3 linked regions of the Macaca mulatta genome follow. The protein of the gene in region 2 binds, or shares a complex with, the protein of the main gene of each other region. Links are inferred from orthologs where the notes say so. Each region holds a gene or a part of one and is shown on either strand. Other genes may lie near its edges.

Evidence for each region.
Region 1: SMARCD3 (region 2) and ACTL6B share a complex: the UniProt entries of both Homo sapiens proteins name them as parts of the BAF complex. The link is inferred for Macaca mulatta from reciprocal best matches to the Homo sapiens genes SMARCD3 and ACTL6B.
Region 3: SMARCD3 (region 2) and DPF1 share a complex: the UniProt entries of both Homo sapiens proteins name them as parts of the neuron-specific chromatin remodeling complex. The link is inferred for Macaca mulatta from reciprocal best matches to the Homo sapiens genes SMARCD3 and DPF1.

The regions. Positions count from the first base shown.
Region 1 is NC_133408.1:47,852,098-47,855,737, forward strand, and holds part of ACTL6B (actin-like protein 6B), read right to left. Parts: intron 3,276-3,640; coding exon 3,181-3,275; intron 3,115-3,180; coding exon 3,008-3,114; intron 1,996-3,007; coding exon 1,906-1,995; intron 1,749-1,905; coding exon 1,687-1,748; intron 1,550-1,686; coding exon 1,435-1,549; intron 1,298-1,434; coding exon 1,217-1,297; intron 1,112-1,216; coding exon 1,016-1,111; intron 818-1,015; exon of another isoform or gene 801-817; coding exon 714-800; intron 1-713. UniProt on the Homo sapiens protein: Involved in transcriptional activation and repression of select genes by chromatin remodeling (alteration of DNA-nucleosome topology).
Region 2 is NC_133408.1:190,678,862-190,683,262, forward strand, and holds the start of SMARCD3 (SWI/SNF-related matrix-associated actin-dependent regulator of chromatin subfamily D member 3), read right to left. Parts: upstream 2,851-4,401; 5' UTR 2,765-2,850; coding exon 2,687-2,764; intron 1-2,686. UniProt on the Homo sapiens protein: Involved in transcriptional activation and repression of select genes by chromatin remodeling (alteration of DNA-nucleosome topology).
Region 3 is NC_133424.1:49,293,276-49,296,915, reverse strand, and holds part of DPF1 (zinc finger protein neuro-d4), read left to right. Parts: intron 1-2,812; coding exon 2,813-2,940; intron 2,941-3,206; coding exon 3,207-3,296; intron 3,297-3,640. UniProt on the Homo sapiens protein: May have an important role in developing neurons by participating in regulation of cell survival, possibly as a neurospecific transcription factor. Belongs to the neuron-specific chromatin remodeling complex (nBAF complex).

The sequences.
Region 1 (3,640 bases), about 140 Mb from region 2:
CTCCCCTCTGCTGACTGAACACAGTGGGTGTCTCACCAAAATCTCATCCTGACCAATCTCTCCAACTACCTGTCCCTCTACTCCTTTTTTTTTTTTTTTTTTTTTTTGAGAGAGAGTCTCACTGTGTCACCCAGGCTGGAGTGCAGTGGCACGATTTCAGCTTACTGCAATCTCCATCTCCTGGGTTCAAGAGATTCTCCTGCCTCAGCCTCCTGAATAGCTGGGATTACAGGCATACACCACCACGCCTGGCTATTTTTTGTATTTTTAGTAAAGACAAGGTTTCATCGTATTGGCCAGGCTGGTCTCGAACTCCTGACCTCAAGTGATTCGCCCGCCTCGGCCTCCCAAAGTGCAGGGTTTACAGGCATGAGCCACCGTGCGCGGCCTCTTCTCCCCAATTTGTAAAAGTAGAGATGGGTCTTGCTATGTTCCCCTGCTGGGTCTTGAACTCCTAGCCTCAAGCCATCCTCCCACTTCAGCCTCCCAAAGTGCTGGGATGACAGGTGCGGGTCACTGTACTGGGCCCCTGCCCCCAATTTGTGTCCTGTTCACCTTTCTGGGAACATTCATTGACCGACATTTCTCAAAAATAAATGTTCGTTGAATGAATGAATGAATGAATGAATGAAGAGGCAGGCAAAGTGGCGGGCGCTGTCTGGGTCTCCCCTGTCCCCCACAGTCAGTGCTAGGCCAGGTCCCCTTCCTCTCACCAGTGAGGCCAGGATGGAACCCCCAATCCAGGGGCTGAACTTGCGCTCCATGGTGCTGTTGCTGGCAATGAGTTTCAGTCGCATGCTCTGGGGGTAAAAAGGGGCTGGGGGAAGCAGACACCTAGGTTCTGGGAAGGGACAGGGCTTGGGGGGCAGGGGGAAGACTTGGGAAGCCTCAGGGGCAGGGGTTCTGCTCTGGTGGACAGAACAGAAGGAAGGACATGGGAAGAATGGGGGACTCAGTCCTGGACAGCTGAGCCAGGATGGGCTTCTGGGGCACTGGGTCAGGGGTGGGCTCCTACCGGTGGGGTCTTCTGGGAAAGCTCTCGATTGAGCCTGTCAGTGAAGCCCTGCAGCAGTGTGTTCCCGCCGGTGACAATGACACTCCCATACAGGCCCTGAGAGCAGGAAGAAGGAGTGAGCCACGGGGGACAGCCCCCCAACCCTGCCTTCCCACTTCCCCTGGGCCCCTTTGCCCAGCCTCAGCTCCGGCCTGGCCTCACCGGGCGAATGTCAATGTCACACATGCCGATGCTGGTGGTCACCACGTGGCCCACACCCAACATGGTATTCCCCGACAGGCCCTGCAGAGAGAGGTGACTGGGGCTGTGGGCCCTCTCCCCCTTCCCCCAGTCCCTGCAATCCTTCCCAGCCTCCCCCACGCCCCAGGATCCAAGGACTGCAGCCAGCACCCACCCCAGTCCTTGCCACACAGCCAAACCTTGACGTTCGAGGGATCAAAGAGGCCCTCGGGGATGCGGAGTCGCTCGGCGCCATAGTCTGTGTTGTAGCCATTGGGCATCTCGTAGTGCACTGTGGGCATTTGTGCAGCCACCCTGCCCAGAAGGGAGCAGGACTCTGCCTGGGGTGCTCAAGAGGGATCAGTGGGTGGACAGCACCAGAGTCCCCCAGCCCACCCCAGGAGTCCCAGTTCTGCCCTTTCTCCCACCCCCCAGCCCTGAGCCACACTCACTGTTCATCGTAGGGGGAGTCTGAGACCTGCAGCACGGAGGCCTGGAAGTCCTGGATCACCTCCTGAAATCCCAGTGAGGGTGATGAGGGCCTGGGTTCCTCCTGAGCAACACCCCCCGCCCAGCTCCCCCTCCCTGCTCCACCTCCCATGCAAGGCCCCTGCCTCGCCCCCATTCACGGCAGGGGAGGGGGCTTCAGGGGACCCTCTCCAGAGGCTCACATTACACATGTAGTTATGCCAGGACTTGGAGACCTGGGGGAGCTTCTCCTTCTTCTTCCAGTTTGGGGGGGCGCCCTCCCGGACAGGCTCCTGTGGGGACAAAGCGTAGGAACACCCTTTCTTAGCCCACCCTGACCCCTACCCCACCTTCCTGGCACTGTTCCCAGCTCTGCAGCTAACTGGCACTGGAGGCTCTGCTGTGCTGCCTGCAAGAGGGTTTCTCACCCTTTCCTGATGGACAGGAGAGAGAATGGGGCATGCCTCTCTCTCCGTGTGTGCCCTTCATGCAGTGGATACAGCTGACCTGGAGAACACCAGGAATACAGCAGTGACAGAATCTCCAGAGAATGGCCTCCTAGGGGGCCGCGATCCACGTGAGGGCACAGGACGGAGCTAAGCACACAGTGTCACTTCATACAGCACCCTGGCTACTGCCTATTACCGTTCCACTTTACAGAAGAGGAAACTGAGGCCCAGGGAGCTTTGATATCATGCTATTGGTCACACAGCTCTTTTTTTTTTTTTTTTCAGAGTCTCACTCTGTCGCCCAGGCTGGAGTACAGTGGCGCGATCTCGGCTCACTGCAACCTCTGCTTCCAGGGTTCAGGTGATTCTTCAGTCTCAGCCTCCTGAGTAGCTGGGACTACAGGCATGTGCCACCATACTTGGCTAGTTTTTGTAGTTTTAGTAGAGATGTGGTTTCACCATGTTGCCCAGGCTGGTCTCGAAGTGAGTTCAAAGTGATCTGCCTGCCTCGGCCTCCCGAAGTGCTGGGATTACAGGCATGAGCCACCATGCCCGGCCGGTCCCACAGCTCTTGCACGGCAGAGGCAGAACTTGAACCTGGGTTTATATTGAACCCTAGAACCCACCACACTGGCCCTCACACATCCTGCTGTCTGCTAGCTGATTCCATGACCTCAGCGTATCCCTCAGCCTGTCTGGATTTCAGATGCCTCACTTATATAAGGAGAAACTGGAGCCAGGACCCACTGGGGAGCCTGCTGCTCTCTGCTCTGATATCTCGTGTGTCAGCGGGTTGACGGCCATGGGGCGAGTGGCCAGGACTCTAGTGGCAGCTCTGTGTCCCCAGAGGCCCCACCTTGGCTGCGATCATGTAAGGTGGGATGATGTCAATGGCCATCTCCTGGAACAGCTCCCGGCACTGCATGGAGATGAAGTCCCCTGCCAGAGGGGACTTGACGATACCTGGAAGGAAGGCAGTGTCAGGATCTCGTCCTCCTGGTGCGCCCCTGCCCCTTGCCGAAGCCCCACCTTGCTGCAGGACGTAGCCGTCATGTACTGGAATGGCCGTGGTGTGGGTGGCCCCACTGTCCAGCACAAGGCCCGTGGACCGCCCGTTTGCAAAGCTGGCATCGGATGGGTAAGTCAAAGAGACAGCAGTGGCAAATGAGGGGCCTGGGCCCAGATCTGGTCTGGTCACTCTCTGCTCTGCCAGGGTCCAGCTCATCCCCAGTGTGCAAATCTCTCCTCCTGGTGATGACTCATCTCCTGGAGAAAGGCTCTGAGACCCCAGTTACTTCTTTTTTTTTGTTTGTTTTGTTTTTGTTTTTTTTTGAGACGGAGTCTCGCTCTGTCGCCCAGGCTGGAGTGCAGTGGCCGGATCTCAGCTCACTGCAAGCTCCGCCTCCTGGGTTCACGCCATTCTCCTGCCTCAGCCTCCCGAGTAGCTGGGACTACAGGCGCCCGCCACCTCGCCCGGCTAGTTTTTTGT
Region 2 (4,401 bases):
GCGCTGAGCGATGGGTGGGAACGATGGGTAGGAGGGGCAGGGGCGCCGGAATACGCGCGGCTCTGGCGGAGGGGCTTGGCGTCTGGCTGTAGGAAGCTAACTGAAGCCAGGCACCGCACAGGGCATTGCGAGCCTCGGGGCTGCGGAAGGTACCGCAAAAATGAATATTAATGGCTTCTTTCAACCTTTCAAAGATGTTCACATCCACATGCTCCTCTACAAGACAGTCTGAGCAGGTCCTTTCATCCCCACTTGACGGATGGGGCCACTGTGGCTCAAGGAGAAAAGCGACCTCGCCAAGGTCACACAGCTCATCCAGGCCCGGCCAGCCCCTGAAGGGCTGCCTCCTGGGGGCCCAGGGCTTTGCTCTCTGCAGCTTGGTTGAAGTCAGGTACCCGGCTCCCTGCTCCGACTTCTGCTCCTCCTCCTGCTCCTCCTTCTCAGGCTTCACTTCTTGGGCGGTTCTGCCTGGCACTCACTAGCTCCTCATCTCAGCCACTCTGCTCCCTGCTTTGACCCTTCGGTCCCAAACTCCACTCCCCTCGACTGACTCCAAGTCCCCACACCCAGGGTCTTCGCTGACCCAGGGTCTAAGCTGCCCTCATAATTTGCTCCCAGGGTGAGGGCTGGAGGCAGGGCAGGCAAGGGCAGCCTTTGGGGGCACCCCAGACCCTGCCAGGATTATCTGATTGGGAGGAGGGGAGCTGCGTTGGAGGTGGGCTGCCCAGGGGGCCTGAGGTGGGTCAGGGCAGTGACACTTCCACTCACATTTCCCTTCCTGTCTGCCCAGGTCAGCAGCCACCTCCTCCTCTTCCCATCCCCACCCCAGCAAGGTCAGCAGTCAGGGTTCAGGGGGCTGTGGAGACTGAGAGGAGGCGGCTCCTCCTCCCTTGCCACTACCCCTGGGTGGTCAGATGGGGTGTAAATGAGATGCAAATGCATCGAGCGAAGTGTTCCAAACCCCACTTGTCCAGACTCCAGAAGGGAGATGGGGAGGGCCAGAGAGAGTTTCAGGGGCTGTGAAACAGAATGAGTGGGGTGGGATGGGGACTGGGACCACGAGAGCAGGAAGACGATCAGAGGGCAGGGGATGCAGACCCTGGCCCTGTTAACATGGACACATCACCCACCTCATCCCCAGGCATGAGGAGGGGCCCCTTGGGCTTGCTGTTTTCCTTCCAACTGCTACCTCCTCCTGGCCCTCCAGGCTCTGTGTCTAACCCTAATGTCCTCCCACCCTCGGTCAGCAGCTGTCTCTGCCTATCTCTCCTGCAGTGAAACCTGCCTGTCCATGTGTCTGCTTCCCTCACCCCACCTGACCCTGTCACTCACGCCTCCAGGGTAGCGGCCCAGAATGGAACCCAGGCCTGGCCACCAGCTAGATGGGGCACTGGGGCTCACAGTCACTCAGTAACTGAAGCTCTAAGTTGGCCAGATAAAAAAAAAGTCCACGTGTGCAGCCTCTCCCCACTAGATGGGCCTTTTTAAAGGGGCTCCCACCAGCAGCCAGGTTAGGATTGGTAACTCAGCTAGCTGACATGGACACTTTGGGAAGTTACCCCCAGGGGTCCCTGGGGTTGGAGGATGGGCCACTCCAGGGAGGCCCCCTCTTCCTGTCAGCTGCTCTCCCCAGTTATCAAGGCCAGGGATACTGGCTCCTCTGCTGAAGAGGCCCTGAGAGGGAGGCTTCCAGAGCCCCCAGAGAGCTGTGCCCACCTCCAGCCCCACCCCCATGAAAGGCCAAAATCCTAGGGACTCTGGTCTTACTGAGAAGGTGCCTTCCTTGGGGTCACAACCAAATTTGGCCATAGTAAACCTGACAGCTTCTTCTACACAGGGCCTCCACCCCCTCACCCATCTCAAGAGTCACAGCCCCTGCCTCTCCCATTCCACACCCCTCCACACCCCTCCCAGCCAGGCCCTACTGACTCAGCTCCAGCCTCCCGGGCTCCCACGTGCCTTTGCAGCCTGCCTGTGGCAGGACAGTGCTCCCCTGTCCCTTCGGTCTCTAGGCCTCACATCCCCAACTCCAGCCCTTCCTTCACACCTTCGAGGAGTTAAGGACATCAGCTTCTGGTGGCTGAGTCCGCCAAGGGGACCCTCAGAACCCCTAACTTGGGCTAAGTCCCTAGAGCGGGCCTCTCCCCGACCCTGAGGCAGAAGCTCCAGAGCCCTCCCGCTGAGATGCAGAGGTGGCTCAGCCTGCGAGCTTCCCACTACAGTGCCTCCAGGGTCACCTGCTCCTTGCTCCGGAGACACAAGCAGTGACACTGTCCCAACGGATGAACAGACAGCCCAGCCCAGCCTCTGCCATGTCCCCATCCCCCACCCCCACCCCCAGGGCAGGGGCAACACCTGGGCCCACAAGGAAAAGAACGAAAGTCAACCTGTCGGCTACAGCGAGGACTCCCCACTTGGGGGGGAGAGTCCCCAAGTCTCACCCCCGCCCCTGACAAGAGCCATGCAAACGCCTCCCTTCCCCGCCTCGCACCAGACCCGGCCGGCCGCCTGGCGACGTGTTCGGGTGCCAGGGCGCCAGCACAGTCCCGGAGCCGGGCCGTGGGCCATGGCGCCCCCCACTAGAGGGGTGGGAGAGCGGGAGTGCCCTCCCGGCCCCTCCCGATCAGCCCTCCATTCAGCCCGAGCCAGCTCGCTCGCCCTCCCCCTCTAACTTTCCCCCACTCACCACCCCATGGACCAGAAACTCAAAAAGTTTGCTTTTCGTGGCTTTGCGCGCCCCTCCGGCAACTTCGTCCGCGGCCATCGGGGTGGGCTCAGCGGCTCCTCTCACTCTCTCTCTCTCTTCCTCTTTCTTTCCCTTTTCTGCCTTTTTTTTTCCTCCAACTCTCCCCTCTGAGTCCTGCTGGGCTCTCTCACACTTCTACTCGAGCGGAGTGGGGAGGGGGCCCCTTCAGGGCTGCCCTGACGGCCCACGGCCCACGCCGCCGCCGCCCGCCCGCCGCCGCCGCCGCGGCCGCGGCTGCCGCATTCCTGCACTGATAAGACAGAAATAGTCCGGCGGCCCGGGGTCTGCCTGTTGACTCGGCGGGGACGGGGCCGCCTGCCTTTCCAAGCCCGCTGTCCAAACAGCGCAGATAAGCGGCGAGGCGCGCCGACCAGCCCGGCCGCGGGCGCTGGGCAGCAGTGCTGCAGCCCGAAGCCGCCGAGGCCCGCGGGAGGCGGCGCGAGGAGGGGACGCCAGGGGAGGCGGCGGGGGGTCGCCGGCCACCGGCTCTCGCCACAAATAGTTTCTCCGTCAGGGAATTCGCCGGCCGCGCCAGGCAGGGAACAGTCAGTTCCAACTTTTCCCCCAGCGGGCTCCTGCAGCATTTCTGAGGCCCTTTCCCCAGAGACCTGGCAGGCCGAGCAGGGAAACATTCGCTGGCAGGAACCGGGGGAGCCCGGCCCGCGAGGCCTCGCGCCTGCCCGGGGCCGGCGGCGGTGGGTGTGCCCGGGCGGCGGCGTGGCCCTGCGTCCACAGCTGTGTGTGCCCTTGTCTCACACGCCGTGTGTGTCCGCGCCCTTTTGTGGTGTGTCAGCTTATGTGCGTGCAGACAGACGCCCTGTCTGTGTGCCTCCCTCCACGACAGCCTCCGTGCGCGCGCCTGCGTGTGTGGCAGGACGTGGCCTGTGCCTTTCAGCTCTGTGCAAGGCTATTTCTGGGTATGTGAGTCTTTGTTTGCCGTTCTGTGAGAAAGTGAGGGCAATAGGGGAAGTATTTCAGAAAGAGGGACAGGGATTGTGTTCATGAGAACAGGAAGAGAATGAATGTGGGGAATGGCGCAGCGCCAAGGGGGTGCTTGGGTGGGTGCGTGGAGAGAACGAGGCAAGCCGAGCTTGGTTTTCTTGGGGTGGGGGTGGAGTGGGGTTAGGGGACCCAGAGGAGTTGGGGCAGCTGGGCTGGGTATAGTGGGTATATTGGGCCGGCCTCAAGACCCCAAAGAGAGGGATCTTGAGGCTGCGGTGTGGGGTGGGGTGGCAAGGGAGCCCCAGAAGGGGCGTGTGGAAGGAGTTGGCAGTCCCTGGAGTGGAGGAGGGACCGGAAGGAGGAGGGGCAAATCCTGACATACCCAGGCTGGGAGCCCTGGGCCTACCCAGGTCCCCAAAGGCCACGCCCCTTTTTCCTCCTTCTGGGGGAGGAGCCCGTGGGCTTTGGAACAAGGCCCCTTGGGTCAAGTTTGGGGGCCTGCTGGGGCCTCACTGTGAGAATCCAGGTGAAGGCAGGGCCATAGCCTAGTGCCTAGGGGAGTTTGTTGAAACACTTATTTGAAGTTGGGTCCTGAAGACTGAAGTGTCCTGACCCTAAACCCTTCAGAATGCCTTTGCCTAGGGGTCTTTTCTGCCTGCAGCCTGATTTCTGCTGGCCCTGGTTGTGCTCTTGGCTGTCACTGTTCATTTGGG
Region 3 (3,640 bases), on a different chromosome or scaffold from region 2:
CCCTGGGAGTTGGGATGGATCAGTATCTGCCTGTATTTTTTTTTTTTTTTTTTGGAGATGGAGTCCGGCTCTGTTGCCCAGGCTGGAAGTACAGTGGCACGATCTCAACTCACTGCAACCTCCGCCTAGTGGGTTCAAGTGATTCTCCTGTCTCAACCTCCCACCTAGCGCACATCGACACGCCCGGCTAATTTTTGTGTATTTTTAGTAGAGACGGGGTTTCACCGTGTTGGCCAGGCTGGTCTCGAACTCCTGACCTCAGGTGATCCACCCGACTCGGCCTCCCAGAGTGCTGGGATTATAGGCTTGAGCCACCGTGCCCGGCCATCTGCCTGTATTTTCTTCTGTGGGTGCCTGAGGGTGTCCGCCTCTGTATCTCCCCAAGGGCGTCTGGATGTCTCAGTGTCTGGTTGGAGCTCTTTCCTCTCTTAGGTGTATCTTCCCGGGTGTCTCCAAGTGTCTTAGAAGGCTTGTGTCTTGTGTATGTCTGGTTTGTCAGGGCGTCCAGCTCCTTCCCAGTGTGTCTGGGTGTGTTACGCGGTGCGGCCGTCTCTTTCTGTGGGTGTGTAGGTGCCTCGGAGTGTCTGGGAGAATCTCTTCCTGATGGTGTCTGGTGTATCAGGTGTATTTCTGCACGTGTGTGTCAGTCCATCAGAGGATCTGGACTTAACCTTGAATGTGTTTAGGAGTATCAGGGTCATTGGGGTCAGTTTCTCTTCCTGAGTCCGAAGGTCTGTGTGTACCCAGGAGTGTGGCAGTGACCACCTGGCTGTGTCTCTGTCTGTCTGTGTCTCCTATGTGTGTGTGTGTGTATCTAGCTGAGCAATTCTCCCTGGGTATGTTGGTATCTCCCCACTATGTGTCTAGGCATCTCATCTGGCTGTCTTCCCCAGGGGGGCCTAGGTATCTGGAGGGCTAATTCTTTCTTCTTTCTTTCTTTCTTTCTTTCTTTCTTTCTTTCTTTCTTTCTTTCTTTCTTTCTTTCTTTCTTTCTTTCTTTCTTTCTTTTTCTTTCTTTCTTTCTCTTTCTTTCTTTCTTTCTTTCTTTCTTTCTTTCTTTCTTTCTTTCTTTCTTTCTTTTTCTTTCTTTCTTTTTCTCTCCCTCTCTCTTTCTCTCCCTCCCTCCCTCTCTCTTCTCTTTCTTTCTTTCTTTCTTTTCTTTTTTCTTTCTTTCCCTTCCTTCCTTCCTTCCTTCCTTCCTTCCTTCCTTCCTTCCTTCCTTCCTTCCTTCCTTCCTTCCTTCCTTCCTTCCTTCCTTCCTTCTTCCCTCCCTCCCTCCCTCCCTTCCTTTTCTTTCTTTCTTTTCCTTGTTTCTTTCTCTTTCTTTTCTTCCATCCAGTTTGGAGTGCAGTGGCACGATCTCAGCTCACTGCAACCTCTGTCTCCCGAGTTCAGGTGATTCTCTTTCTCAGCCTCCTGAGTAGCTGGGATTACAGGCGTGAGCAATTACATCCAGTCAATTTTTGTATTTTGTTTTTAAGTAGAGATGAGGTTTTACCATGTTGGCCAGGCTGGTCTCGAACTCCTGACCTGAAGTGATCCACCCACCTCGGCCTCCTAAAGTGCTGGGATTACAGGTGTGAGGCACCGCACCTGACCAGCTGATTGTCTCTGCGCATCTCTGAGAGTACCCATGGGTCCGGCTATGTCTCCTTCATGTGTCTGGCTGTCTCCAAGGATCTGGCTATACCTCTCTGAGTCTCTAGGCTGTATCTGAGAGTGTGGCTTGGCCAGGCATGGTGGCTTGTGCCTGTAATTCCAGCACTTTGGGAGGCTGAGGCAGAGGATCACTTGAACTCAGGAGTTTGAGACCAGCCTGACTAACATGGTGAAACCCCGTCTCTACCAAAAATACAAAAATTAGCCGGTGTGGTGGCGGGCCAACCACTCTGCCTGTAGTCCTAGTTACCCAGGAGGCTGATGGGAGGATCACTTGAGCCTGGGAGTCGCAGTGAGCTGAGATTGTGCCACTGCACTCCAACCTGGGTGACGGAGCGAGACCCTGTCTCAAAAAAAAAAAAAAAAAAAGAAAGAAAGAAAAAGAAAAAGGAGAGCTTGGTTGGGCCTCTTCCTTTCTGCGTGTGTCTCAGAAAATCTGTCTGGATGTCCCCTATGGGTGTCCATGTGTCTCCTCTGTGAGTGTGTGTATCTGTCCGTATTTGTCTGGGTGTGTTTAAAAGTCGCTGTGTCGGCCGGGTGCGGTGGCTCAAGCCTGTAATCCCAGCACTTTGGGAGGCCAAGACGGGCGGATCACGAGGTCAGGAGATCGAGACAATCCTGGCTAACACGGTGAAACCCCGTCTCTACTAAAAAAAAATACAAAAAACTAGCCGGGCGAGGTGGTGGGCGCCTGTAGTCCCAGCTACTCGGGAGGGAGGCTGAGGCAGGAGAATGGCATAAACCCGGGAGGCGGAGCTTGCAGTGAGCTGAGATCCGGCCACTGCACTCCAGCCTGGGCAACAGAGCGAGACTCCGTCTCAAAAAAAAAAAAAAAAAAAGAGTCGCTGTGTCTTCCCTGAGTAGGTCTGGGTGTGCCTGATGGCCTGTGTCTTTTTCTGAGGCTTTCCGGTATATCCAAAGTTCTGACTGTGTCTCCTGCCGTGCGTCCCAGGGCATCTGAGGGTGTGGCTGGGTCTCCCCGGGGTCTGGGCCTCCCTTCTAGGGCGTGTAGTTAAATCCTCGCCTCGGCTGCTGGCCGAGTGTGGGAAAGCTTCTTCCCTCCCGCAAAGAGCATGGTCCCCCCACCTGCATAGTTTGAGGAGTCCTCTAGGGTCAACTTCCCCATCTGACCCTGCCATGGCCCTGTCCCCAGACTGTGAAGCACCCCTGAAGAAGGAGGGTGGCCTCCCTGAAGGGCCCGTCCTCGAGGCTCTGCTGTGTGCAGAGACGGGGGAGAAGAAGATTGAGCTGAAGGAGGAGGAGACCATTATGGACTGTCAGGTAGGCCCACCCCTGGGGGACCCCCCGACATGGCTTCCTCTCACCCCTGCCGGCCGCCAGCCCGGGCCCTCATGTTCCTGCTCTGAAACCCCCCGGTTTCCTCCAGCCCTCGGGCATCCCAGTCTCCATCCTCCCAGACTTCATCTCTGTTTGGAAGAACTCCTGACTTACGCTCTCATCCCCAATCTCCACCTCTGCCCAGAGCCCCTCAAAAGCAGGTCAGTGGCTCCTACTTTCTTGATCCGTCTCCTTTCTCTATTGCCCAGAAACAGCAGTTGCTGGAGTTTCCGCATGATCTCGAGGTGGAAGACTTGGAGGATGACATTCCCAGGAGGAAGAACAGGGCCAAAGGAAAGGTATCACCCCAAGGTTCTCCTCTCCCCTGCTCCCCTTAATGACAGGTCTCATTCGTGGAGCAGGCGCAGTGGTCGGCCCCTGCCACAGTCTGACCTCATTGAATCCCAGAACAGCCTGCAGGGGTGGGGGATTTAATACCCATTTTACAGATGAGGAAACTGAGGCTCATCTGTATTAAGCCATTTGCAAAGCAGAGATTATGCAGTGGGTTAGAGCTACCTTCATCCCCGTGCCGCAGAGGAAGAAGCTAAAACTTGGAGAGGTTTGAAGCCCCACAGCTAGGACATTTGCAGAGCTGCAATTTGAATTTGCAAAAGACTCTGTTTTCTCACTTTCTTTTTTC